6 linked regions of the Tribolium castaneum genome follow. The protein of the gene in region 1 purifies or fractionates together with the protein of each later gene. This does not show direct contact. Links are inferred from orthologs where the notes say so. Each region holds a gene or a part of one and is shown on either strand. Other genes may lie near its edges.

The links.
Region 2: the proteins of HDAC1 (region 1) and MTA1-like fractionate together in Drosophila melanogaster (co-fractionation; 3 studies listed by BioGRID, with this or other methods). This does not show direct contact. The link is inferred for Tribolium castaneum from reciprocal best matches to the Drosophila melanogaster genes HDAC1 and MTA1-like.
Region 3: the proteins of HDAC1 (region 1) and Sin3A purify together in Drosophila melanogaster (affinity purification with western blotting; 3 studies listed by BioGRID, with this or other methods). This does not show direct contact. The link is inferred for Tribolium castaneum from reciprocal best matches to the Drosophila melanogaster genes HDAC1 and Sin3A.
Region 4: the proteins of HDAC1 (region 1) and Kdm5 purify together in Drosophila melanogaster (affinity purification with western blotting; 3 studies listed by BioGRID, with this or other methods). This does not show direct contact. The link is inferred for Tribolium castaneum from reciprocal best matches to the Drosophila melanogaster genes HDAC1 and Kdm5.
Region 5: the proteins of HDAC1 (region 1) and polycomb group protein Pc purify together in Drosophila melanogaster (affinity purification with western blotting; 3 studies listed by BioGRID, with this or other methods). This does not show direct contact. The link is inferred for Tribolium castaneum from reciprocal best matches to the Drosophila melanogaster genes HDAC1 and Pc.
Region 6: the proteins of HDAC1 (region 1) and Mi-2 purify together in Drosophila melanogaster (affinity purification with western blotting; 5 studies listed by BioGRID, with this or other methods). This does not show direct contact. The link is inferred for Tribolium castaneum from reciprocal best matches to the Drosophila melanogaster genes HDAC1 and Mi-2.

What each region holds. Positions count from the first base shown.
Region 1 is NC_087394.1:10,698,296-10,702,250, forward strand, and holds the start of HDAC1 (histone deacetylase HDAC1), read left to right. Parts: upstream 1-1,155; 5' UTR 1,156-1,338; coding exon 1,339-1,387; intron 1,388-1,698; coding exon 1,699-1,811; intron 1,812-1,865; coding exon 1,866-2,307; intron 2,308-3,955. UniProt on the Drosophila melanogaster protein: Catalyzes the deacetylation of lysine residues on the N-terminal part of the core histones (H2A, H2B, H3 and H4).
Region 2 is NC_087396.1:14,172,158-14,176,184, reverse strand, and holds the start of MTA1-like (metastasis-associated protein MTA3), read left to right. Parts: upstream 1-1,227; 5' UTR 1,228-1,411; coding exon 1,412-1,439; intron 1,440-1,638; exon of another isoform or gene 1,639-1,795; intron 1,796-1,857; coding exon 1,858-2,019; intron 2,020-4,027.
Region 3 is NC_087396.1:24,661,653-24,665,598, reverse strand, and holds the start of Sin3A (paired amphipathic helix protein Sin3b), read left to right. Parts: upstream 1-1,146; 5' UTR 1,147-1,733; intron 1,734-1,813; 5' UTR 1,814-1,949; intron 1,950-3,946.
Region 4 is NC_087403.1:6,553,770-6,558,064, reverse strand, and holds the start of Kdm5 (lysine-specific demethylase 5), read right to left. Parts: upstream 2,801-4,295; 5' UTR 2,655-2,800; intron 2,236-2,654; 5' UTR 2,210-2,235; coding exon 1,976-2,209; intron 1,783-1,975; coding exon 1,705-1,782; intron 1,658-1,704; coding exon 1,519-1,657; intron 1,471-1,518; coding exon 1,313-1,470; intron 1,266-1,312; coding exon 1,131-1,265; intron 1-1,130. Other genes in the region: UPF0746 protein DDB_G0281095, read right to left, coding at 4,120-4,295. UniProt on the Drosophila melanogaster protein: Histone demethylase that specifically demethylates 'Lys-4' of histone H3, thereby playing a central role in histone code. Does not demethylate histone H3 'Lys-9', H3 'Lys-27', H3 'Lys-36', H3 'Lys-79' or H4 'Lys-20'.
Region 5 is NC_087395.1:14,257,104-14,261,354, forward strand, and holds the start of polycomb group protein Pc, read left to right. Parts: upstream 1-1,451; 5' UTR 1,452-1,820; coding exon 1,821-1,880; intron 1,881-4,251. Other genes in the region: protein BCCIP homolog, read right to left, coding at 1-429, 476-730, 777-872.
Region 6 is NC_087395.1:15,688,995-15,693,141, reverse strand, and holds the start of Mi-2 (chromodomain-helicase-DNA-binding protein Mi-2 homolog), read left to right. Parts: upstream 1-1,347; 5' UTR 1,348-1,493; coding exon 1,494-1,530; intron 1,531-1,972; coding exon 1,973-2,055; intron 2,056-2,097; coding exon 2,098-2,232; intron 2,233-4,147. Other genes in the region: macro domain-containing protein CT2219, read left to right, coding at 274-642, 688-856, 901-1,193. UniProt on the Drosophila melanogaster protein: ATP-dependent chromatin-remodeling factor which acts in nucleosome-remodeling by catalyzing ATP-dependent nucleosome mobilization. Involved in regulating transcription. Plays a vital role in development.

The sequences.
Region 1 (3,955 bases):
CGCTGCTTTAAACTCTCAAATATTATTAATTTTTTTAAATTTATGGGCCGGTTTATAAAAGGCTCTGTTAAAATTGAATTCGTTGTTAAAAGTTAACAACGCGAATGAACCAACCAAATGACTTCAATTTGGTCACGTAATCAGTTAATCACGCATTTTATAACTGATTAAATTAATGACGTTTTTATAAACCGGTCCTATGATTAGTTATGATAATTAAACTAGTTTACAAAAAATTTTTTCTTTTACCAAGAAATAATTTATACTGATTTTGTTTTCTTCTCACTCACTAATAACGTAATAACTAAAATATATCTCACATTTGTCTATCACGTCTTGTTTTTTTAATATATTCACTAAAAGTTTTGAAAATATATTCGTTGTTTCTGTGATAAACTAATAGTTAAACATTGTATTTGCTTTAAAATATCGTCAAGTAAATGTAGATTAAGCCCAAACAACTTTTGTTTTTTTGTGGTAAAATTATCTTAGTAAAACCTGAAAAACTTAAAGGCAAGAAATAAGAATTTCTCAGTTTCGAATGTAAAGGGAAAAATGTTTAGGAATGCAACCCCTTAATTATTTCTAACTAAGTGTAAAGAAGAATTTAGAACTTGCTCTACTGAAAACTGCTAACCAATCTTCATAACATATAATTGTTGTTTTCTTCGATAAATAAGTTTTTTACAGTAGAGGCTTCCTTTTTCATGAGAATTTTTGTATGAAAAGCTGATTTTTGTTCATTAGTTAATGTGGCATTATTAGCGGTGTAGTTAGAAAAAACAGTTCTAAGGAACAAAGTTGTGGTGAATTATCTTCTACGATTCAGGTATTATTTAATTTTCCATTATTCGAACATTGGTAAAAAACCGTCTTCAACGTTTTTGGGACCCCTTCGGTTGAAAATCACAGCTTTCTTGATTAATGAAGGGTCAAGGGACTTTCCCTTCGTTAATCAAGGAAGCTGTGGATATGGTCTTAAGGACTCTTCTAAAGAAAAGAGATGGCGCTACGTAAGGAGAGTTTTTTTAAGTTAGGAGAATCAACTCCAACAATGAAAAAGAAAGCTTTGTTACGGCCTTAATGGTGGCATTACAATGCAAAAACGAAAAGAATCACCCTGTTTATTTTTTAGTAGGGAAATTCAACTTTACACTAAATCGCCACCGGTGCTAGGTTGGCGTCCTTGCTGCGGGAACAACGGTGCCATTTGCAAAGCGGCGTGTTGTGCTACCGCCGTAATTCTAATAATTTAAACAAATTGTTACAAAGTGAACAGTGATTTGTAATAATTAAAGCCAAAGTAATTAAAAACAATTTAGTTTTCTACAGTACAAGATGGCCACACAACCTCACAGTCGGAAACGTGTTTGTTACTATTACGACAGTAAGTAGCCACCAATTTCAGCCAAACATGAATTATTCCACCATTTTGGGGCGTTTGTTTTTGAAATTTGCCAACAAAATGCATGCGTTTGCTTAATTTTGTGTCGTATCGTGCTATCATGTAAATACGATTTTCGAAACCGTAAGCCTGGAAATTCACGGTAGACTACGGTCGCGGTATTTTTGCTCGGTGCTGATTGGTTAGCTTGGTTTATGATGAGATGATGACGCTTTTTTGTACGGTGTTACGATGGCGAATGTTATTAGTCCATCGTGAATTTTGATTCAATTCTGATAATTTTGAATTGTTAGGCGATATTGGGAATTACTATTATGGGCAAGGACACCCCATGAAGCCCCACCGCATAAGGATGACCCATAATTTGCTGCTCAATTATGGTCTGTACAGAAAAATGGAGATTTATGTGAGTATTTAATTTCCATGAATTGTTGGTGTTATTTAGTTTTGACTTTCCCAGCGCCCCCATAAAGCCACTGCCGAAGAAATGACCAAGTTTCACTCGGATGACTACATTCGATTTCTCAGATCCATCCGACCTGACAACATGTCTGAGTACAACAAACAAATGCAGAGGTTTAATGTAGGGGAGGACTGTCCTGTCTTTGACGGTTTGTACGAATTCTGCCAACTCTCAGCTGGGGGCTCAGTGGCGGCAGCTGTTAAATTGAACAAGCAAGCGTCCGAAATTTGCATCAATTGGGGCGGGGGTTTGCATCACGCGAAAAAATCCGAAGCTTCGGGCTTTTGCTACGTAAATGATATTGTTCTGGGGATTTTGGAGCTGTTGAAGTACCACCAACGCGTGTTGTACATCGATATTGACGTGCACCACGGTGACGGTGTCGAAGAGGCTTTTTACACCACTGACCGGGTGATGACAGTCTCGTTCCACAAATACGGTGAGTATTCTAAAAATAAGACAAAGGGGCGAAACGAGATACAAAATAACTCGATGTTTTTACCAAAAATTTAGTCCCCCAGAGCATCAGTGCTCCATAGCATCGTTTTGGTTTCATTTAAATTAATTTAAACTCAACCGGTTCACTATTTGTCTGAGAAAAATGTGCTGTTCTAGGGGAAAAACATTATTGAAATGTTTTTAAAACGTTGCAAATACGGTTAGTAAAATACAAAGAGGTGTATAAGTATTAAAGCAAACTGTTCGAAACATTTTTTATATGTCGAGAATTACTTAAATATTTTGTTGTAAAATTTTCTTCTAATACGGTCAGAAGTTTCCAACAAAGGATGAAAATTGTATTACTCTGAATAATTCAGCTAACTTAAAGTCGTTTTATAGATGAAAAGCATTTTTTTAAGAAATCTCATCGAATAAAGGCAAAGAATGTGTTTGCTTTTTTTAATACCTACTTAAACACATTTCTAAGGTAAAAATTCACTTTTCTTGCTTAGTTTTATATTACTTTTGCCTTTGTTTTTGTCAAAAAAAAAAAACAAAAATGAAGATCGGAAATGATTTTATTTTGGCTTTTTTGTTCTTGTTTTGAGTGATTTTCTTTGTTTTTTTTTTCACAATTGCTTTAATAACTCGGTAATTTTCTGAAATTTATATATTCTTTGGACATTTTTAGTTCTAGTTTTATTTATTAGTTTCAATCAATTTAACATTTTGCTTAAATAGGTTTAAAAAGGATTATCAGTGGACATCGAATATCCATTTTTGCCTTTCTTCAGCATTTTGATTAAAAACATACCTATTTCTCATAAATTGGTTACAACAGGACCAAAAATCATTAGTAATCTAAGCGAGAAACTCACTGTGAAATGACCACTTTTGTATGACTTCGTTAAACACTCCGAACATTTTCTTTATTATGATTTCGTTGTTTGTATGATTTCGTTAAACACTTTGAACAATTTCTTTATTACGTAGAAAATTACGGTATTTTTATTATTAAACAAGTAAGTATTAAACAAGTGTAAGATGATTTTACTTTTTTCGTAAAACTGCATTAAAACGCCAAAAATAATTTAATTACGTTTGAAATACCGGATTTTTATTTTAAATATGCAAAACTTTGTCAGAAGACCAATGAATGATCTTGATAGTTGTCGTTCCTTTCGGTGGGCTTACGGTGACTTGTTAAAACAAGATGAGAAATTATTTGATACGTCGGAAATGACGTGAATTTTGAGCGAAAGGTCGAAAATAATGTGAATTATTTTGATCAGTTTTTCTAGAATTGGGTCGTTTTTTTTTTGTAAAATTTGAAGTACAAATGCCGAACATATCACATAATTATTATTTTACCTATAATTAGGTATATATTATTTTTGCTTTTAAGCACACTTCTCACTTTTCTGTTGAAATTTCGCTCAAATAGAGCAAGTGATTATCAATAAAGTTATCGAATATTACGTCACTTTGATTTTTTTCCACTTACTCATAGTAATTCGCATTAATTCGCTAGAATAACAGGCCAAAAAAATCACAAATGAAGGTAGGGAATGACATTACTTTGGTCTTTTTCGCCATACATATTTATGTGGGAAACTAAGATTTGTTGCAATTTTGTCAATAAATGA
Region 2 (4,027 bases), on another chromosome or scaffold:
GGAAAAAACACCAGTCAACAATTTTCGGGTCTAAAAAATTATTTTTTTAATTTTTTAATCTGTAGTATGTATTTGCTTGCAACTTTCAACAAGGACTGTTCAGAGGAAAAATTGCTTTCCGAAATAGTTTTTGCAACATTTGTCCCAAAATACATTTCTTCGAGCAAAAGATAATTTCTTGGATTATTATAATCAATATTTTCTATTGTAACGTTTAATAAGTGGGGTTTTTACAGGGCCGTCTCTAGCTTATAACCGCCATGGTGCAAAGTTTTAAGTGCCGCCCTTATCACTTATTTTTTTTACAAAAAAAACAGCTTTTTATTTTCGGTTGTTATAACAATTCTCCATTTATCTAAAAAAAGGTTTATCGCCTTTCAACATTTAAGCACAGTTACTTTAATAACATCTGGGAGAATCTGAAAATTTTTTCCTAGTTTAAAAAAAAATTGTAGTAAAATGTATCAGGCACGTAATTTATATGATATTATTTTGAAGAGTTAAAAAGAATTTGCAATTTTTTTTGTTTCACTATCCAAATCTGAATTAGAAAAAATGACGTATACACTTTTTTTAAATTGAAGATTTTTTGCAGCATTAGTCCTGCGTTACCATCGTTTATTTGAAGGGGGTTTCAGAGTTGATGTTAGAAGTTATTTTTTATCGCAGTGTTGAAGCAGAATAAAATACGTAATTTCCTGAACAAAAGAAACAAATTGATCACCTCCAAAGAATTTTTGGCAGCGAAATTTGCGTCTTTTCAGTACTTTATTATCAAGCTTACACAGTTATTAAATGGCTTAAATGGTTTACATAAAGAATAAAATAAAAACTAAAAATCATATTTAATACTTTAACTTGCCGCCAGGGTGCCTCCTTGCACCCGCGCTTAAGACGACCCTGCTTTTTATCGGCTAAATTCCTGGAAAATCTGTAGCCTTTGCAGTTCCTATTATTTTCATTTTTTTTAAAGAATAAGCAATCAACACGTGGAATAAAAATTCAATCATTTTTTTAATCTTTATTGTCGTGAAAATATTTTTCAAACTGATTTTTTACATTTTTTTGTAAATGTTGACTTTTGGATAAATCGTTAGATCTACCGAAAAATCGGTGGGTCTGGCAACGCTGTACGTGCCAGTTTTTGCGTATTTTTTGCATGTTTCTGTTTTATCGTCGCAATGTTTCTGCTACTGGCCGCTGAGAGTTCTTTTGGCGTTGGTGTAAACAATCGTGTGTGATTCTTTGCTCAGACGCCAACAGGGAGTTTGATTTGAGAAAATGGCGTCTGTTGGCTTGATGGTGTTTAGTGTACTGACAAAACATTGAAGAAATTCGACGAAATTATTTAAAATGTGTGTCGTATTAACGTAGTATTACTGTTAGGAGTAAATCGTTTTTGTGTTTGAAGATGACAGCTAACATGTATCGTGTCGGAGGTGAGTGTTTGGTGATTTAATTAACCGGCTTCGCTCAAGAGGAAGTCTTTCTCTCGAGTAGTCCAGTTTGATAATTGCGATCGGGGTTCGATAGGTGGATCTAATTGTGGTGATTTTTCGCGCCGCTGCGTGCTCGCGATTTTGTCGAAACGACGGGACTATTAATAAAGCCATCCGATTGTAATTTTACACTTTGGTAATTATTTTGGAGTGTCCCGTCGTGACGCCAGGTGCTCAACCTTTTATCTCACCTGGTATCTTTTAATCAAACAAAAGGAGCTGCCTCGCCAGCCCAATTACTCTCCCGTTTTTGCGAATCAAAGTTGGGAAAAGTTAGTCGCGGGTCGCCGTGAGAGGTCATTTTCCCCGTTAGGCGAGGAGGATGTCCACTGTTATTGTTTACATTTCCGTTTTTTAGATTACGTGTACTTTGAGACGTCATCGACGTCCCCGTACCAGATCCGGCGAATCGAGGAGCTGAATAAGACGGCATCGGGCAATGTGGAAGCGAAGGTGATGTGCTTCTACCGCCGGAGGGACCTGCCCAGCCAGCTGATCCAGCTCGCCGACAAACACCAATGTAAGTCAAGTGGGGCCCTTGTCGCGATTTCCGTTTTTCGGCGGTGCTTCGTCGGGGCGACATTCTCGCTTTTCACGCATTCTAAATGAGTGGAGGGGCAAAAGTCTTGATTAGGCGATCGATATTCGCTGACTGTACCTGTCTTGTCACCGTCCGTGGTGTTGTTTCGCGAAATCCTGCCGCAACTGTACTCGATCAGACCGCGTCGCTATGACAACTGCGAGATGCTTGTTCTTTTATGCAAGACTGTACTTTTATAATTACACACAAAAAGTAGATAACGAAACCTGATGCTTGATGCCGGGGCGATTGTTGTCATCGGCAGGTATTCACCTCGTTAATTTACCATTTTATACCAGGGCCTAGATTGCGGCTTTTTACACCTATTTTAATCCCGGGTCGTCTGGGTCCATCGATTGTTTTGTTTCAAAACTTTTGCTAAATGTAAATTCATTACAAACATGATTAAAAGATAACAACCCTTGAGTTTTTTACCAGCTTTATTCGTTATACCTGCGAGGATTTTTTATTAAAGACATCTGGTGGGTCTGGAAGCATTAGGGGAGACTGGGACAAACTGGTCCGGTTGGGATAATTGTCACTTAAAACCACCATCTTATAAAAATCTCCAATCTTGTGCATTTACGGCGTGATAAAATTATGTTTTTCCAGGTTACCGTAACGATATTACAAAATGCAACTTTGCAGCACTGCTTTTGGTGATTTTTTTGTTCTATTCGTTTACCTGCACTGACTGATTTTATTTGTCGAGAAGCAATTATCGGGCTCAAATGGTAGGGTAAAGTAGGTTCTTTTTTCTTTTAATGTGAAGTTTTGCCAAGTTGAATTATTTGATACCACATTTACTAGAAATAAATCAGATGAAAGTTTAATAATTAATGCAATTTAGAAGTCGCTCCAAAAAAATGCGTGACTCGTGTGATAAATTACTGGTATCACAATGGAGGTGTCTGTATTTAGTGTGCTCGTCGTTTTTGTTACTTTTATATTGGTAATTTTTAAAGACTAAGGAACTAAGGACTACGGGAACTTTTCTCTTTTTTATTAGAAAAATACATCAAACTTGCGATTTTTTTATCCCTTATTCTGACCTTTAGTAAGTAATGGAACAATTTGTCTCAAAATTTGTCAGTAACCAGTGACGTATTTATCCTGCCGCCCAGGACCACGTAATTTTGCCGCTCCTGTCTGTGACATTCTTAAAAAAACAGTTTTGTAATTTGACGCCATTTTGATGCTTTAAGAGATATATTAAAAAGAGCAACGTCATCAAGTCTGATGCCAAAATACCTAGTCATTATTTGACGGAACATTTTACGAAAATTTTTAGGTTGGCAGGAAGTAAATTCGGGACTGCTTTTGTGCCAATTTCAGGAGCGTTATGCAAGATTATTAGCTGTTTCGAAATTAATGAAAATGCCAACGTTGCATTTTCTCTCAAAATTAGCTGTTATAAATTATTCATGCACTTCAAAAAAACAATAGCTAATGTAATAATAGTTTCAATGAGATGTCTAATCATTAATAACTATTTTGCAATTTAGAATTTGGTAAAATTAATTAACTTTTATATAATTTTTATAATAATTAACTTTTTTTAATAAATCAATTTATTTGAATGAAATAGCGAACTCAGTTCTAACACAGATTCTCTAAAAATGCCAGATAATAATTCTGAAAATTAAATAAATACCTAAAAAAGTTCTTTGTAATGTGCACTATATTATTAAATGTCTTCATTATTTTGTAAGATATTTATTAAAAATCACCCTGTATGCATTTATTTAAGAAGTTCTTGTTTTTTAATTACGTAGCCATTTTACACTTATACCCTTTTTCCTATAATCTCAGGTTATTACTGACTTTTTTCAAAGACATTCTTCTGTATTTTCTATAATATGAATTCAAACTCATTGGCTAAACAATTACGAACTTATAAATTAAAAAAATAAGTCGAAAACAAAAAATCTGATCAATTGATTTAAAA
Region 3 (3,946 bases), on another chromosome or scaffold:
ACTTTTTCGGAATAAACTGGCAAGAATAATATTTTCGCGGCTCGCTTTCTTCAAAATAAAACTGGTTGACGTTCATAATTTTCTAATGACACGTTTCTACCTTCTGATTGGCTAAATTGGGCTTATGCTGATAGTGATGGCTGATAGTATTTGCTCCAATGGTATTTCCCGTAATGAAAATTATTTGAACCGAAAATCTTTCACAGTTATAATCCCGTGGTTTTTATAATGTAAAATTAAATCGATAAAATACATAACCAAACGGTCCAATAATACAGTTAGTTTTTGTAAGAATTATCTAATTGGGAATAATAATTGGATTAATTTGGGTTGAATTCTAACTAATTGGATGTTTCTGTTTTTTACGGTAATTTTTTACAAGTTTATCAGAAGTGTATTGGAGCCGTTTTGACTCGGAGCACAAACGTGACCCCATTTTCTTCAATTATTTATTGTCTGTCATAGAATAGAAGCACTGATTGAAGTGGGCAACCCAAAATACAATAAACCAAGTGAATTTATTTTTTTTTCAACTCTTATCTTTCTCAAAAAGCTCAAAAGCTCTTAAATATTAGCATATGGTATTTGTTTCAAGTTTCAGATTGCTACATAATTTTTTAAATGGAATTTATGACCTGTTTTAAATTTCCAATGTTCTCCATGCATCACTGTGTGTGTGTGTGTGTGTGTTTTTTTTTGATGTTTTGAATCCAAAAATGTGATTTTCAACTATTTTTATACACTCACTTCAGTTATTATTATTTTTTTAATTTTTCATTGTGGTTCTTATTGCCGAAGAGAGTGACTAAATTAATAATTAGTAATTAAAATGTGTCTTCTTGAGGTGTGTGTTATGCAGTAATGTTCACTGGATGTATATTCAACATAAAGTGGATTTATGAATTAATTGCATAGACAAGTTTTTTACTTGTTTTCAGATTTTTATTTAATTTTATATTTTTTATTAGCCTCTGCAGCCACGTAATCATTGGCACGAATACTTTTAGAAATTGTTTAGTTGATTAATTTCTTGTAGGTATAATTATTTTTAATAGTAATAAAAATGTTTAGGTGTAGTTTATTAATAATAATTAATAGACACAAAAAGAGTTTGAATCTTGATGTCCGGCTTAATAAGATTAATAACAGTCAGAGGTCAGTTTAAAACTTTTACATCTGCTACACGCTCAACTAATCCGAAAATGGGCACTACATTGTTCTTTGGCGGGTATTTTTAAAAATCGATAACAGCGCCACTGTTCTCTTCACATTGAACTATCAGAGCAAGCATCAAACAAACCTTTTACGGATCAGACAATTGATTCGAGGGGCGGTCGCTAGTATCCGAAACTGAAAAAATCCACAATATGACTAAAGTGTAATTTTTCTGGAATTGGGAGCTCATCCTGTGGCACGTCGTAATGTTTGTGTGTAGGTTTTGTGCATTTTGGTGATCAAAAACTTGAAAAATTTGAAAGTGGGCAAAGCGACCAACCACCCGAAATTGATGGACTCGTCCAAACAAGCTCGGAGATTTGAAGCAGCCAGTCAGTCGACAATCGGTCATCGTTTCGGGTGGTTCGGAACAGAATGTGTCAGAATTTTCTTTTGATGAATTCTAGTGTTTTCCAATTATTTCCCAGTGAAATCAGCGCGGATCGGTTGCAATTGTACGGTGCATCCCCGGCACCAGTCCGCACGGAAGCGCTTTCCGCGAAAGAGGCTTTTGTAAGGTGAGTGACATATTTTTAACTTTTCACATTGACACAAGTGTTGTGTAATTGCAATTCCCAATTCGGCGCCGCTTTTCCAGCATTTCCCATGGTTTTTCCGCGATTTCGGCGTCGGCGTTCCAAAATTAGCCTCCGTCGCGGGGGCCGGCACTCTCCCTCCGTGGAAATTTCGTCGGCCTGGCAACGCTTTTCCGCCGAAAATCTGCCGACCTTTCGGTAATTACGAAATTTCGATGCAACATTTTGTATTTGTTTACTGACAAAGAGTCGCGTCCGATTTTCGGCTTTATGCACTTTCGTGTTTGGGTCGCTTCGGTCGCAGCGCCTCGCACGTCCGGTTCCCTGCCCTTCCACTCGCCTATCGATTCCTTCATTGGCCAATCGCGAGCCTAGCTTGCTAGATCGCGGGAGCGAAGTCGACACGCAACGTTGCCACTGCCACAAATTACTCATGCACAAAGGTGTGGCAACGTTGCCACAACACAAATGCCGAAAAATGGCCACCAGAAACCGACACGTGACGAGATTTTTATGCGGGCTTTCTAAAACTTTGACGCGCGCCTTTTCAAGGTCATCCGTGAAAGTTGATTTACTGTTTGCATAAATGGTTTAGGGTATGGACTATTTATTTGGTTATCTCACGAGTGCCAAAATGATAAGAATTGTTACCCTGAGTTTTGTTTTGTTTTTTTTTCCGGGGAGAAATACCGACGCCATTATTGTCCGGAATGACGCGATAAGTAACTGCGTAGCAGTTCGTATAAACGCTACCGGTTTTGTTTATGCCAGAAATAAATAAGTGGGCGTGTCGTTTTGCGGATCAGCTGAATTGAAAATGTTCAACATGGGATCGAGAAATGTTCCATGAACGTTGTTGCCGATATTGTTGCAAATTTTCCTCGAATCTTATATTAAAACTTTAAAAATATCAGTGGTTTTGACTATGATGGACGAAATGTTGTTGGATTTTGTTTACGTAACATGTTATTTTGAGGTTATGTCGAAATAAAGTCATCATTTTGCTCTCCTAGCTTGTAAAAAACAGTATGGTCAAATTACATTTTTAAAAGCTTTTTTACATGTTTATTTCCACAAATTATTTTTTTGTCAAATACTAGTTTAGATTTTTGTTTTTACGATTTTTAGTAATTCTTGAATAACATTTTCGTGCTGGAATGAACATGTTTATATAAAATTTCAGAGGTAAGACGAGGGAAATAATTTGATAATTATTCAATCTGTAGGACGTGTTTCATAAGAGTAGTCTGTGCGAATTTTATTAAAACTGTAATTATGTGTCACATTGTGCTCTACTTTAATATTATTCATTTATCTACCAAATAAATAGGTAGTAAAATTATTTAAATTAGAGTTTGTCTCTGTTTTTAATTTAGGTATTATTATGTATGTTTTAAATTATAACGTTATAATAATTACTAACGGTGTATATTTATTTATTTGTAAGAAAAAGGTCAGAGATAATTACAAAAACTGATCTGACAGTAATAACATGCAGAAATAATGTTTGTACAGCGGTGGATAGAGGATAAAAATGGCAAATTGTTAAAAATTAATTTACATAATCACAATTATAGGTATTGGAAAATGAAAATTGGTTTTACATGTAATAAAAAATGTAATTTCTATTGGAAACCAATTTATAATGGAATGTTAAATAAAATGCTTACCGGTTATTATCATGGGTTATATATTTTTTGTCTAAAAAACATTGTATTTTTTCACGGAAATACAATATTCATAATATCTTCTGAAATTATTAATTAAACAAAAGGTAGGTAATTGTTAGGAATTCGATTAATGTAATAAAATAGCAGCATATCATGACACGAACACGTTTTTCTTAATCTTATCACAAAAGTGTAATAATATCAACCAGATGTCTCTCAACTCGAAAAGTGAAAAGTTTAATTGCCGTGATTTGTAATTATAAACTAATCAAATGGAAGTCTTCACACGTGTGTTAAAAAATGAAACTTGGTTAAATCACATTTAAAAAAAAACACAAATTTCGAAGAGACGTAAACCGTCACACTTGTTCAAACGAGTTTTAACCCAGCTCTTCAGTCTTTTCATAGAACAAAAATTAACGCCCATTATCAGCGTAATTGATTACGTTATGCGCATTAGCCCCTATCGAGCAATAATAACAGACGTCCCATTATTAAATGATGGCGACGTGTAAACATCTTTCG
Region 4 (4,295 bases), on another chromosome or scaffold:
GCGGCCTGAGATAAGGCTAATAGTTACATTTGCCTCAGTTTCAAGTAATCATCGGTCAAAACTCGTCGGGCCGTGCGTTTAATTGTGATTGCAAGATTCCAAAAGGTAGGAAACCAAAATCGTTTTAAGGTTTCGGCAAATTATTCTTTATATTTCAATACATCAGCGTTGTTTTTTTAAGGAATTGGAAATTTAAGCTGTGTCTCAAAATATGTAAAATGTGCGTTTTTCGTTGTCGCTTCTATGTTTACAAATAAAATTGCGTATTATTCTCGTAACATGAAGATTAATTAATTTTTTTCAATTTTAATTCAATATTTGTACAAATGGAAAAATGTTAATTACAAATTAAATATTTTAAATAGAATTTAATTGCACAATTCATGTATTAATATGTACCACCTATGTGAAATGAAAGTTATGTGCTAAACTGCGAGTTTAAAATGAAAATGGAAAAAAATCCGCGAACAAAAGTGCATTTATGAGTTTTCACTAATGATTCACTGCAATCGCTGAGTGGAAAAAAGTTTTATAAACATTAAACCCTCTACTCTCAAATTATATAAAACAAAATAAGAATTATTTGTTGATATATTGGTAACGAAAGAACAATAAAGAACTTGAGATTTTGACATAGAATGGTTAGTGTGAAATAATATTTTTTTCATTAGCCTACAAGTTGTAATTTTGCGACTGTTCTTTTGTGGTGCAGTAATTCTTAAGAAAATAATTTTTCTAATTCGTCAATGAAAGAAAACAATTGAAGTCAATTAAGTATGCGAAAACATGTAACAACTGTAATGTAATTTTTGTTTTGTTTCCTCGAAAAAAATTAATTCTTATGCAATATCAGAAAGAATTAACTTGAATTACAATATCTCAAATAAATAAACACTGTGGGTGTGCCTTGATACCGCCTCGTATCAGCTGCCATTTGCGTCTTCGAAGATAAGAAAACGTTGAACAAGTGACAAGAGGTGCGACCTTATCGCAGATTCTACCCGCGAGATGCAAACAGATACTTACCTCTTCGTGTCTGCTAATAATAAAAATAATAATAATAAATGAATATTGCGCTTGGTCATTAACCGCCAATAACTTTTTCCTAATAAAAAAATTAAAATTATTACGTCGGCATCAAATCGTTTAGATCGGCGAGCGTGTTTCTCAGGTGGTGGTTTGATCGCCATTCGCCCCACAATCCCGTGCGGTTTATAGTCTTTATCAGCCTTCTCGCTTTCCTCATTTAAGGGTGATGTCATTTTCTAGAGAATTACAGTAGAAAAAAAAACAAATCCAGAGTTTTACTTACAAAATTCAAAGTTTTGCCTTGTTTGAAAAGATCAAACGGGTAAAGCAACCTCTCATAGTGCGTTTTTAGAATGGTCCCTATGCTCTTACCAGATGGGTACCCCATAGAGACCGAAATTTTCGACCACTTTCTGTCTTTGGTTACTTGGTCAAAACCACCTAATAAGCAAAAGTCCAACAAAAAATTACCCAGCAATTTGTAATTACCTTGACTTTGAACAATGCTGTGCAACGTGTACAGGTCAATACAGCGTTTTTCTACCATTGGGATTTTCAGTGTGGAACCTTGCAGTTCCCAGAATTTGGCGATTTGGTCGAGGAAGTTTAATTTGACGCGAGTTTTAGCCTAAGGTAACAGAATTAAAGTCGAACTTTGCTAAATCGGGGTAATACCTCTAATTCGTTAAGTCTCTGAATTCGTGGCGTAAATCTAAGTTTGTCAACGTCAACGGCAAAGGGCGGTTGCCAATTCTAGAAAACATATTCGTATTAAACCTCTATCAAACATGGTGGCTTTGCAGCCATAGAACCTCATGTTTCACTTGATTGCTAATGGAATTCTAAATAAAAATAGCCGAGGTTCCTGAGAGTGGTTCAAAGTCTATTCGGGTGCGAATTGATTAACAAAGTCGAAATAATTTCGATGGTCTCTTTTGTGACTTACTGGAGGCGGTTTGATCTTGCAAATGCCCGATCCCTCAGCATACTTCCTGATCTTGTTGATGTACTCGAGCGGATCGTTGAATTCCTCCTCGGTTGGGTGGAAAACGGGAGCCTCCGGTGGAGGCTCGAACTCGAAACACTCTTCTTTGTAGCCACAGCCCGAGTCTTGCTTCGGGCTGGTGTTTTTCGCGTGGTTTTTAGTAGGACTGGTGGGTTTATCCACTTTTGTAGTCATTTTGGGTAATTTTACATAATTAAGTCCTGGAAGAAAAACACGATGGACTTTTCGCACCGAGACACGATGGAAGTCACGGCCTAATCATCAGAGCTCGGGAAAAGTTACTTTCCAGAAGATTAGCGAGGTGCGATACCTGGCCGTCACAATAATCACGTTTTGTTATTGAAAAGGGGGCGATTTCACCCGATTCGCGAACCCCACACTTCCCGAACCCCGTTGGGACACTTTTTACACCAACTTGCCCGAATTTCGAGTATTTTTTTTCATTCTGAACCAACACAACAACATTACATGTAATAATATCCCCACCAGCCGTCATCGATTGCTTGAGGATCTTGTGAATAGCAACATAACAAAGATGGTCTACACAGAAATTTATAAATACACACGAAGATTCGAAATTCGGCCTCCGATTACACAAAACACCCCATTTCCTACTTACACCACGCACTTTGCTCCTAGTTCAGCCTCAAACACCTCCGTCCAACATTTTGCACCATAAATACCAACTTTTAGGTTAACTAGAAAGGTACGTGACGCATAGCTAACCAGCTAAGGCAGCTATTCCATAGAATATAGAACAGCAATCGACATGACCAACAATTCGCTGGCTTACTGTGCAGCAATTATTTCTGGGGCCTGTATTATTGGTTGCATAGCACTTAGGCTGATGATTGCCGTTGACCTTTATGAATTGTCCATTCTCGTTAAAAGTTTAATCAGATTTGTGAAATGGAGCACTGCTTTATTATTACGTAACAACAGGAGTTTAAACCCGATATTTTAGATTTATTGCTGCTTTTGCAAAATAATAGAAATGAACAGTGGCGGAGGTTTGACTATTGCGAAAGGGGCGGGGTTAGATTTAATTAGGTCATTGTCTGCCAAAACAAATTTTCGTTCAAACCTTGAAATTTATCATTTGTAACAACTCTATGTGTGCATTTTTTGTTTTATAAATAATAATATAAAGCAATTGTTTAGATTTTAATGATTTAGAAACAATTCCTAGATAACCACTATTTAATACGGCATCATGGATTGTGTTTGAAAAAAGTTAATTTAAATCTAATTCCTCTTCTACACTACACACAATTTTAAATCACCCTCTGCTCTGCAGTACTACAATTTTCTAAGTAATTTAATAATTCTCCCTGAAATTTATAAAAAGACTTACCAGCAGAAATTATGAACTTGAGCACTAGAACTCAAAAGTCCACTATTGGCGGCATGTTAACACCTCTCTTCCGTTATTAATCAAAATATTTGTGTCTGTATGCGATAGGAGAAATACTTGACTTATGAATTCACCATAATTGTGCGATTTAATAAAAAATTGATTAAGACATATTTTTGAAATTATTAATAGAATTTTAAACTGATTTACATTACATTTGATTTTTTATGTACCTAATTAATTTTTTTGGTTAATTTTCAAAAAATATTTTTTCTCAAATTTTAAATGAAACACTCGAGTTTAAAATCAAAATTTTTAGATTTATTACTTACTTTTCAAAAAAAAAATTTAATGAACAGTGGCGGAGGTTTGGCTGTTTGTTTGGCGTTAGGTCTTTAGGTCATTACCTATTAACACAATTTTTGGTATAAAAAAAATAAAAAAAGTAATGCAATTTCATGTAAATTATAAGCACCACCTGTGAACCGGTAGCGAAACCAAAACCGTTGTGCGGGAAATTTTTAAATTTTAAAGTAGACACGCCTCATTCTCTAGAAATTCTGTGCATTTGACTTTTTATGTAATTAATTTTTGGACTAATGAAGAAGTATTTGGTAACAATTTGTAATTAAACACAAGGATGATATTTTTATTTATTTAATCAATTTTGTTACATACTTTATAATAACAGAGTATGTGATGTAACAAGCAATCAAATTGATCAAATTCATTAGTTTTCCTTGTTTTCTTCGTCATTTTTCTCCTCCAATTTCGGCTCTTCTTTCTCCTGTTGATCCTCCTTTGGTTTTTCCTGCACTTCCTCTTGTTGTTCCTCCTGCTGTTTCTCCTGTTGCTCCTCCTGCTGTTTCTCCTGTTGCTCCTCCTGCTGTTTCTCCTGTTGCTCCT
Region 5 (4,251 bases), on another chromosome or scaffold:
TACTCTGTGTGGAATCAACTCTTTATCTTCACTTTGCCAATTCCCCGTCAGTCCTGTGTCACTTTTTCCGGCCACACTGTATTCAAACCTACAGTCAGCTTTCTTCCAGAAGATTTCTTCTTCATCATTTGAGAAGACGATTTCACTACCGTCGCTTTTGGACTTCCAGTTTTTACAAATCATTAAATAGTAATCAAACTTATAGCCGTCATTCTTCTTCCCCATTCTGTGTATTTCATCTTGTAATGCGTGTAGCATAGGAAGGGAGATTTTTGATGGTATGTTAACAAACCGCTCATTGATAATAAAACCAATTTTGTTTGAATTGTTTCCCACAATTTCTTTAAATAACGATTTAGCTTCAGGATCCGCCTGTTTCGTAACCTCATCATCAACTAACTTGTACAGTTGTTGAACACATGGTGTCTCCTGAAAACCCCCTATTATCCCCAGGTTGCAAAATAAACACAACCACCTTGTGTTGCGTTAGATTGATAACACTGGTGATACCAAACACATCAGACTCCTCCACCATCTCAATATCTTCCTCGTCGTCGCTATCGTTAAAACTTTGCTTCAAAACAGATCCAATTCCAGCCTGAGAAATAAGCATGTCACTCATTTGGCCCAAATCAACATGTGCAGTTAAAAATAACTGATTCAGTAACTGTTTAATGCCGTGAAAATCTTGGCCTTCGGGGTTTCGGCCTTCAAAAGTCGCTTGGATTTCCTACAAGAGCACGTGTCATAAGTATAACCCCAAAAACTGTACCCACTTGTTGGCCATGGTAACTCCCGGACTCGTCACTTTGATATTCCTCATCAGAGGCGGGTTTCGCGACCTTTCGCGACTTTTTCGAAGCCCCAGCCATGTTTTGAACTTATTTGCACTAAAAACTCAACTCTCAAGCCAACCGGTTTGTATTCCTAGGTTAGGGAATTGTCAAATCTCAAACAAGTGTCAGGGATTACAGTGGACCAGTACAAAAATCTAGTTTGGCAAAATAAAATCTGAAAAAAGATGAAGTTTAATTTAATATCAATTGATAGCTATTGGAATAATTATTTAAATTATTAAGGATTTAAAATTGCATTTTTAATCTTCACAATTGGGAAATCCCGGGAAAGCCGCAAAAAATGTATTTTTTTTTCAGTAAACAATCAGTTATTGGCAATACTGGGAAAAAGATAAAGTTTTAAACATAAATTACTGCTAACAACTTTGTCATTCTTTCACGAACCAAAAAATTATCATAATTATAGGCAATGAGCAAGTAACATTATTGTGGACAAAAAATTGTTATGTAACCTTATAGACACACTAAACATGTATATGTGATAAAACCCGCGTGAAAAAAAATTTAACTAAAAATATTCGACTTTTTTGAAATGTTGGAAGAATATTTTGAAAATTTGGTCGGCTGGACGAGTCCATTATCCCAGAGGGGTGGAAAGTGCTGCAAAGCGAGTGCGATAACCGCAAGAACATCCCCAAAGTCCTTTTTGTGCAAACTTCTGGTGATTTACTTGAAGATTATGTGTGATTGCCTTTTGTAAATCGCGAAATGAATTAATTTCGCCAAAAATATCTTTGCGCTGCGCGCACAGTGCATCCAACCGGGCACGTCAAATTCCCCAAAGCCAATGTGATGTGAGTGAGTTGTTGTGGACGCAATTTGTGAATTTCGCGGAAAACTCCGTATTGTTTTTCTCGGGAAAATGCTGAGAAAAGCTGAGTTCGATTTGTGGTTGTGCACTTAGATGAGTATCTGGTGCGCAATAATTTTCGGAGTTTTTATGCGTCCCCATCAGCCATAACAATGGAACTTGGTGACCATGTTTATGCCGCCGAAAGGATTATAAAAAAACGAGTCCGTCGGGTGAGTTTTCATCCTTGAAAATGATTATCCTTTTCGGGTTGTTTGGTGGGGGAAATGGGGGCTCCCGGCGGAGCTAACCTCGAATTTCCATCGACAGTTTGCGATGGGTTTGTTGATAAGGTTTGTGACTCAAGGGGTATTTCCTTACATAATTGGGGTTTCCTGTCACCCCTTCCGGTCTAAGACGTGAGTCACGGCTGAGGAGCTTCGGGGAGGAAGTCGTGGGGTTAATTAGGACGCCGTTTTCGGTTTTTTTCAATAAAAGTTGTCAAGAAATGGGGGTTGGGGCTGTAAGTCGTCATTATTGTTGCCAAGTGCCACATGTTGAGGAAGTTATGGTATAATAGACGAAACGGGTTTGACGATTGACTGACAATAAAAGCTTTACAAGCTTATTATTACGGTTTGGAGTCAATAAAGTAATCCAAGGTCGTAATTTATAATTTATGAACTGGTCGAAATGTCTGCAGATGTTCACTAATTTCTTGAAAAATGGTTAATCAACTTGGGGGCTTTGATATAGAGTTGTGCTAATTTGGAGTAATGTGAAGCTTGGTAAAAAATAATACAGACGTCGTCTAAACTGACGATGACTTAATGTTTCAGTTGTGTAAACATTGAGATAAGAAATGTTGAAAAACCAACAGAACGGAAATGCATTCTTCAAACGTCGTGTAAAAAAATTTACTCCAAAATAATAAAAAAAAACTGACTTTGAATATTAAGCTTTATTTATTATTTTTCACTGTTATTGAACTAAACAGATTATTTATAGTTATTAATAATACGAGTGCGAAAACACAAACTTAAAGTTCGAGGGCTAGACACCCAAGAACTTTAAGCGTTTTCGTATGAATGTTATTCAATTTTTTTTGTTGGAACATATTAATTTACGTTGCTATGGGAAGAGTGTTTTAAAATTGCTATCGGAAACGTGTTTTAAAATAGTGTTTATAATGTAGGATTCAGATATCAAAAAGAACGGTTAAAATATTACCAACAAAAAAAAACTGCATCAAGCTTAACAACTGAGTGCATTTCGTAACCAAAATGAAAAAAGGAAAATCTTTTTTTTGTTCACACCTTGTTTGTGTTTCTTCACTTCATTTAACTTTTTATCATGTAACAGTAAAAGACACGAGTTACATGTCTCACAGCAATACCTTAAAAATTTTGAACAATAAAAAAATCAAGTGGTAACTCAATTAATTCCCTATCGTTTAAACTATTTAATTTTTTACTCGACTAGAGATATTTATTTTTGCCTCGGCCATAATACTTGGAACACCCTATACAAGAGAACATTTCGTCCTAATTTAATTATTTTTTACAATTACCGGATGTTAATGTCAAAGCCATAAAAAGAGATAGATTTTGATTCCAGATTATTCGTGAATGGAATAATTTGCATAAAAAAGGTTAAATAAAGAACACTTCTGACTTCAACTCGAAACCATTAGATTGTATGTAATCAAAAAAATTGTTAAAATACGGACATATGACATGTGGCGTGATATTTTTAGTTATGAAACTCATTATGCAATTTGTATTTATGTACTAGATGTTTTTTGAACAAACTCACATTTTTCTAAATTGTTTGTATTATGTTTTTTTAACTGCTTAGCATTTATAATTGCTGTTGTAAAAACATGTACGTCGTAAGAAAATGCAAATTTCTCATCTTGTTACACGTAGTTGCAGTAATGAATCATCAAATTTAAAGCAACTTTTCTTAGAAATTTCAAAATAAATCCACGATTGCATTGGCAACTTTGTCTTTGCTAAAATTTCATTATGAACTACTTTTATTTATTATTAAAAATATAAAAATTATTTATTAAAAATCAAACGCATATTCAGTGGTAAGTGTAATTAGTATTTTTGGTTGCATCTAAAGAAATTTCAGAAATAATCTCTAAATAATTCATAAAACAAAGCAAAATTAATCATGTCGTTGATATTCATACAAAAATTTTAAAGTATTGTAATATCACTTTGTTTATATTTTTCCTAATGTAGACTTTACGATAAAAAGTAGCCACATTTTTTAATTATCTTATCTTAGCATTACCTACTTCAGATTAAATAATAAAAATTTAACTGGTTTAAAAAGATAAAAAATGACAATTTACGATTCATTAATTTTACTTTGATGAAACTTAAAACATAATAATTTAATAATAAAATCATATAGAGTATTTTGAGCTCTTTTGGCTAGAAATGTTTTTCTTGGCTCAGAAGACTTTTTTATTACATTTTGTTTATTATATGTTGAAATATTTTTAATTTTATTTGTTTTTTTCAAATGAAACCAAAAAAGTAATTTGAGTAATTTACGGTCAAACTCACTCAACATGTATCAAATTTCTTC
Region 6 (4,147 bases), on another chromosome or scaffold:
GAAGTGTGTGTATTAGACCAACCGTGGCGCTAGCATAATTTACCTCTATTTATTTTGTAATCATTAGATGACTACATCCATAATCTTATCATGTAAACATATCAAGTGAACAAACACTACCTAAACGGCCCTTTCATGCGAAAACGCGCCCTTTTTCAAACAAGTGTTTTTTACAAAAAGAATCGTAATGTTTTTAGTGGAAACTCATGATATATTAACGCAATTAACAATAAATTCAATTCAATCGCGCGTTTATTTTTTTTTTGTATTAAAATGTATTGTTGGTTGCCTACGAATAAGGGGAACCTAACCTGTAAAATGTTTTGTTGTGAAAAAATCCTAACGGCGATAACCGTTGGGGTGAAGACTCGTACTTTTGCAAGTGTTGCAAGTGTAAAAATGGCCGGTTGGAAGGAAGACAAAGAAAAATTTCTGTCTATGCCCCTGGACGCCAAAAGAAAATTCTACGCCGGAAAGCAATACAAACAAATATCAGACATCCCAACTTGGGAGGAATACGCCAAAAAAGCGACCCTCGCCCCACAAATCCCTTCAAAGACCGACTTCCAAATCGACAGTTCCCTCAATAGCTCTCTCTGTAAGAAGGTTTCGATTTTCCAGGGCGACATCACAACTTTAGAGGTACTTAATTATTTAAATTCACCCGAAAGTACATTTATTTTCCAGATTGATGCGATTGTGAACGCCGCCAACACGTCCCTCCTGGGCGGCGGCGGCGTCGACGGGGCCATCCACCGGGCCGCTGGCCCCAATTTGCTCGCCGAATGCAAGACTCTCAATGGGTGCCCCACCGGAGACGCTGTCATAACTGGGGGCTATAAACTACCAGCGAAATGTACGTTTGCCCATTGGTGGCTGAAGACTCACGCTTTCTTGCAGATGTGATCCACACGGTGGGGCCCAGGGGCGAAAAACCGGGCCTTTTGCAACAGTGCTACCGAAACTGTCTTAAAATCATGGCAGAGAGGAAACTGCAAACTGTGGCGTTCCCGTGCATTTCCACCGGGATTTACGACTACCCCAACGAGCCTGCGGCACATGTAGCCGCCTCGGAAGTGCGCAAATTTTTGGAAAAAAACAGCGAGGTTGAGAGAGTCGTTTTTTGTATTTTTCTGGACCAGGATCATGTGATTTATGAGGGGGTTTTGCAGTCGTATTTTCCTTTGAAATAAATGTTTGGTGTTACTTAATTGTTTTTTATTTTTTTCTTCCTCTATTAAAAAAAAATCAAAGTCAGGTGTGATTTTGGGGGAAAAACTAATAAGAGCGAGAGAGACGCGACGAGTGTTGGTTATTTCGTTCGAGAATTCTGTGACACATGCGCCGTTGGCAGCATTGTCTAGGAAAGGGGATAAGAGTGAAGTGAGGGAAAGAACAACTATCCAAGAAAAGCCGTGTAAAGTTTGTTTCTTGTGGATTTTCCTGAATAAAAAGTGAACAATTAGTGCAATTGTCGTTGAGTGGCCCGCGTGATGGCTTCCGACGAAGAGGTCGAGGACTCTTACGCCGGTAAGTTTGTTTTCCGTCCGGTGCATAGGTGCGAATCTAAGCCGACTTGATATTCATGTGTTTTACTTTTAAGTGCCGAAATTAAGCCAAACACCGTTCGGTCCGGCTCTGCGGGCCCCCCGCGGGCCCCGGGCGCGCGGCTGGGGGCCCAGAGGGCCGCAAAGACGAATAATTATAACCTGGTAATCAGTTATATTAGGCGCGGGGAAAGGGGGACGCAGGTTTTCATTATTTTTGTGACAGCGCGCGGGCATATCCTGACCCTTAACAAAATGGAGGCCATCAAACAAAGAGATTGGCAGATTGTAAATTAAAGGTTTCCGCGATAAATGTCTCGGAGGTTTTGGGGTTAGAAATTTCATATTTTCCCTCCAAAATTTTGTTATGATCACGCTGACCACTGTCCACATGGCGTACACATGATTTTATTTTTGGTAATTAGGGGAGGAGGAGGCTCAGGAGGAAGCTGCGGGGGATCCCGTCGACAACGAGCCCGAGTCCGACGAAGCCCCAATCAAGCATGGAGTAATATTTTTAATTCAAGGTATTTTTATTTGGCTAAATTAGAAGTTACAGGACGAGGATGATGACTACGAACCGGAGGATGCACGAAAGAAGAAAAAGGGGAAAAAGCGGAAAGCAAGAGGCGAGGAGAAGAAGGGCAAGAAGAAAAAGAAGAAACGGAGAAATGACAGTGGAGACGTAAGATTTTTTAGCCAATTGCAATTTTCAACAAAAAAGTGCAAATGCTATTAGACGAGAAGGGGTGTCTTTTTCCCTGAATGCTAATTTAAAATACGTTTTCATTTTTAATTAAGGAATTTAAAAAAAAATGGACTGAAAGTAGTTTGTTTCTATTGTTTTTTTTAATCGCAGAATCATGTTTTTCGAGAACCTTAATTACTCCAAAAAAACCTGTAAATTATAATAATCAAATCCAGCTTCTCTACGTTGCTAAATTGGTCTCCGCTTAGTCATAAAACGATTTAATTTACGACTTAGATCTGGGTTGACAACTCAGGAATAAACAGTAACTGAAAAGTTGAACATGTTTGAAATTCGACGAATTGCAGTAACAGGGACGAATTGTCTTCCTGCTTATTTAGTGTACGCTTCACATGTACTTTTTTTTTCTTTTGCTCTGAATTATTTTTCACGTTTTCTTTCTATCGTTTAATAGTATTGATCGATGTTCTATGTATATTTAACGTTTATTCTTGATGATTCTATATTTTTCGAATGTATTTATTACATAGTCTGTACACATAGTTGCCCACTTATTTTTAATTTTATTGGAAGCAGTTACTTCATTTTTTGTTTATTTTGAGATTAGCTCAGAACGTGAACAGTGTTTGAATTTTTTAATCTGTTACAGCCAACACAACTGCTTATACAGGCAGGCTATAAAAGTTAAACTTAGGGTTTCTGATGTCTCGACTTTTTTTTTTTCTTGAGACCGCAGAATCCTCGGCTGGAAATTCTCCAGACTTCTTGAATCTCGAGAAATTTTTAAATTAAAAAAAAAACAAAATTTTTAAACAGATGCACAATAAAATAACGCTTATTAATAACCATAACCATAATAACAATTATTAAATTTTGTTAAATAAAAATTTTATTTGCTGCTTTAGGAATTTTTCTGACAAAGCCAGAATTAACTAAATAAGACTTCCTTCCATCAAATAATGTGTCTGTCAATTATACAATAAATAAAAAAATTAGTATTAAACATTAAACAGGTTCCACTTTAATAATAAAAATGAAAATATAAAATACGGACATATTTAAAGAGATGAATGATAATAGTAGAGGTCAAAAGAAGTTAAAATAACTCAACCTGTCTTACTTAAATATTTAGTTTCTGAGGTAAGAGGGTGCAACCCCCACTTTAGCGTTAGAAAATTCGTCAAAAAAAGCAATGTAAACGGAGTTTTCATCTGCTCTGTACTTTATTCCCAAGTTTCTTTCAACAAAATGATTTACGTTTTGCAGAAAGTTTTTGTTTGTCCTTCCGATTAAAATAGTAACTGATCAAAGCACATTTTAATGTCTTAATGTAAAAAACGAATATAAAATTTTTATCCTGTGAATAAATTAAAAAACCCAAAAATTTTAGTAAAAAATTCATACTCTCACATAAGTGGCGGTATTTTCTGTCTGTATACTCTCGACTCTTCAGTGTTTTCCGGATATATTCTGATGTATTTAGACTGACTAAATTTCTATAAAAATAATGTCTACCTACTTATATATAATAGAGTTAATCGTCTATTGGTAGAGATAATGTGAAGTATTTTTCTTGTGTAATTATAATAATAGATTAGCTGATGGTGGCATTTTAATGCCGAAACGCTCGTCAAAGTATGATAAAAACTGTTAAGAATTATTAATAAAGATGGATCTTAAAAAACTACCAAACATTAATCTTAACTACAGGGTTCACAAACGAATTTAACTTCCTTATTTGATAACTTTTTCAAGAACGAAAGTAAAGAAACATTCGTTGATGGAGCGAATTCAATTACAATTTTTTATTGGTTTTACGAATATTGCAATGTCTGTTATGCAAAAATTAATTCTTTATGAACGAGTGCTCGTATTAGATCATCTGTGAGAA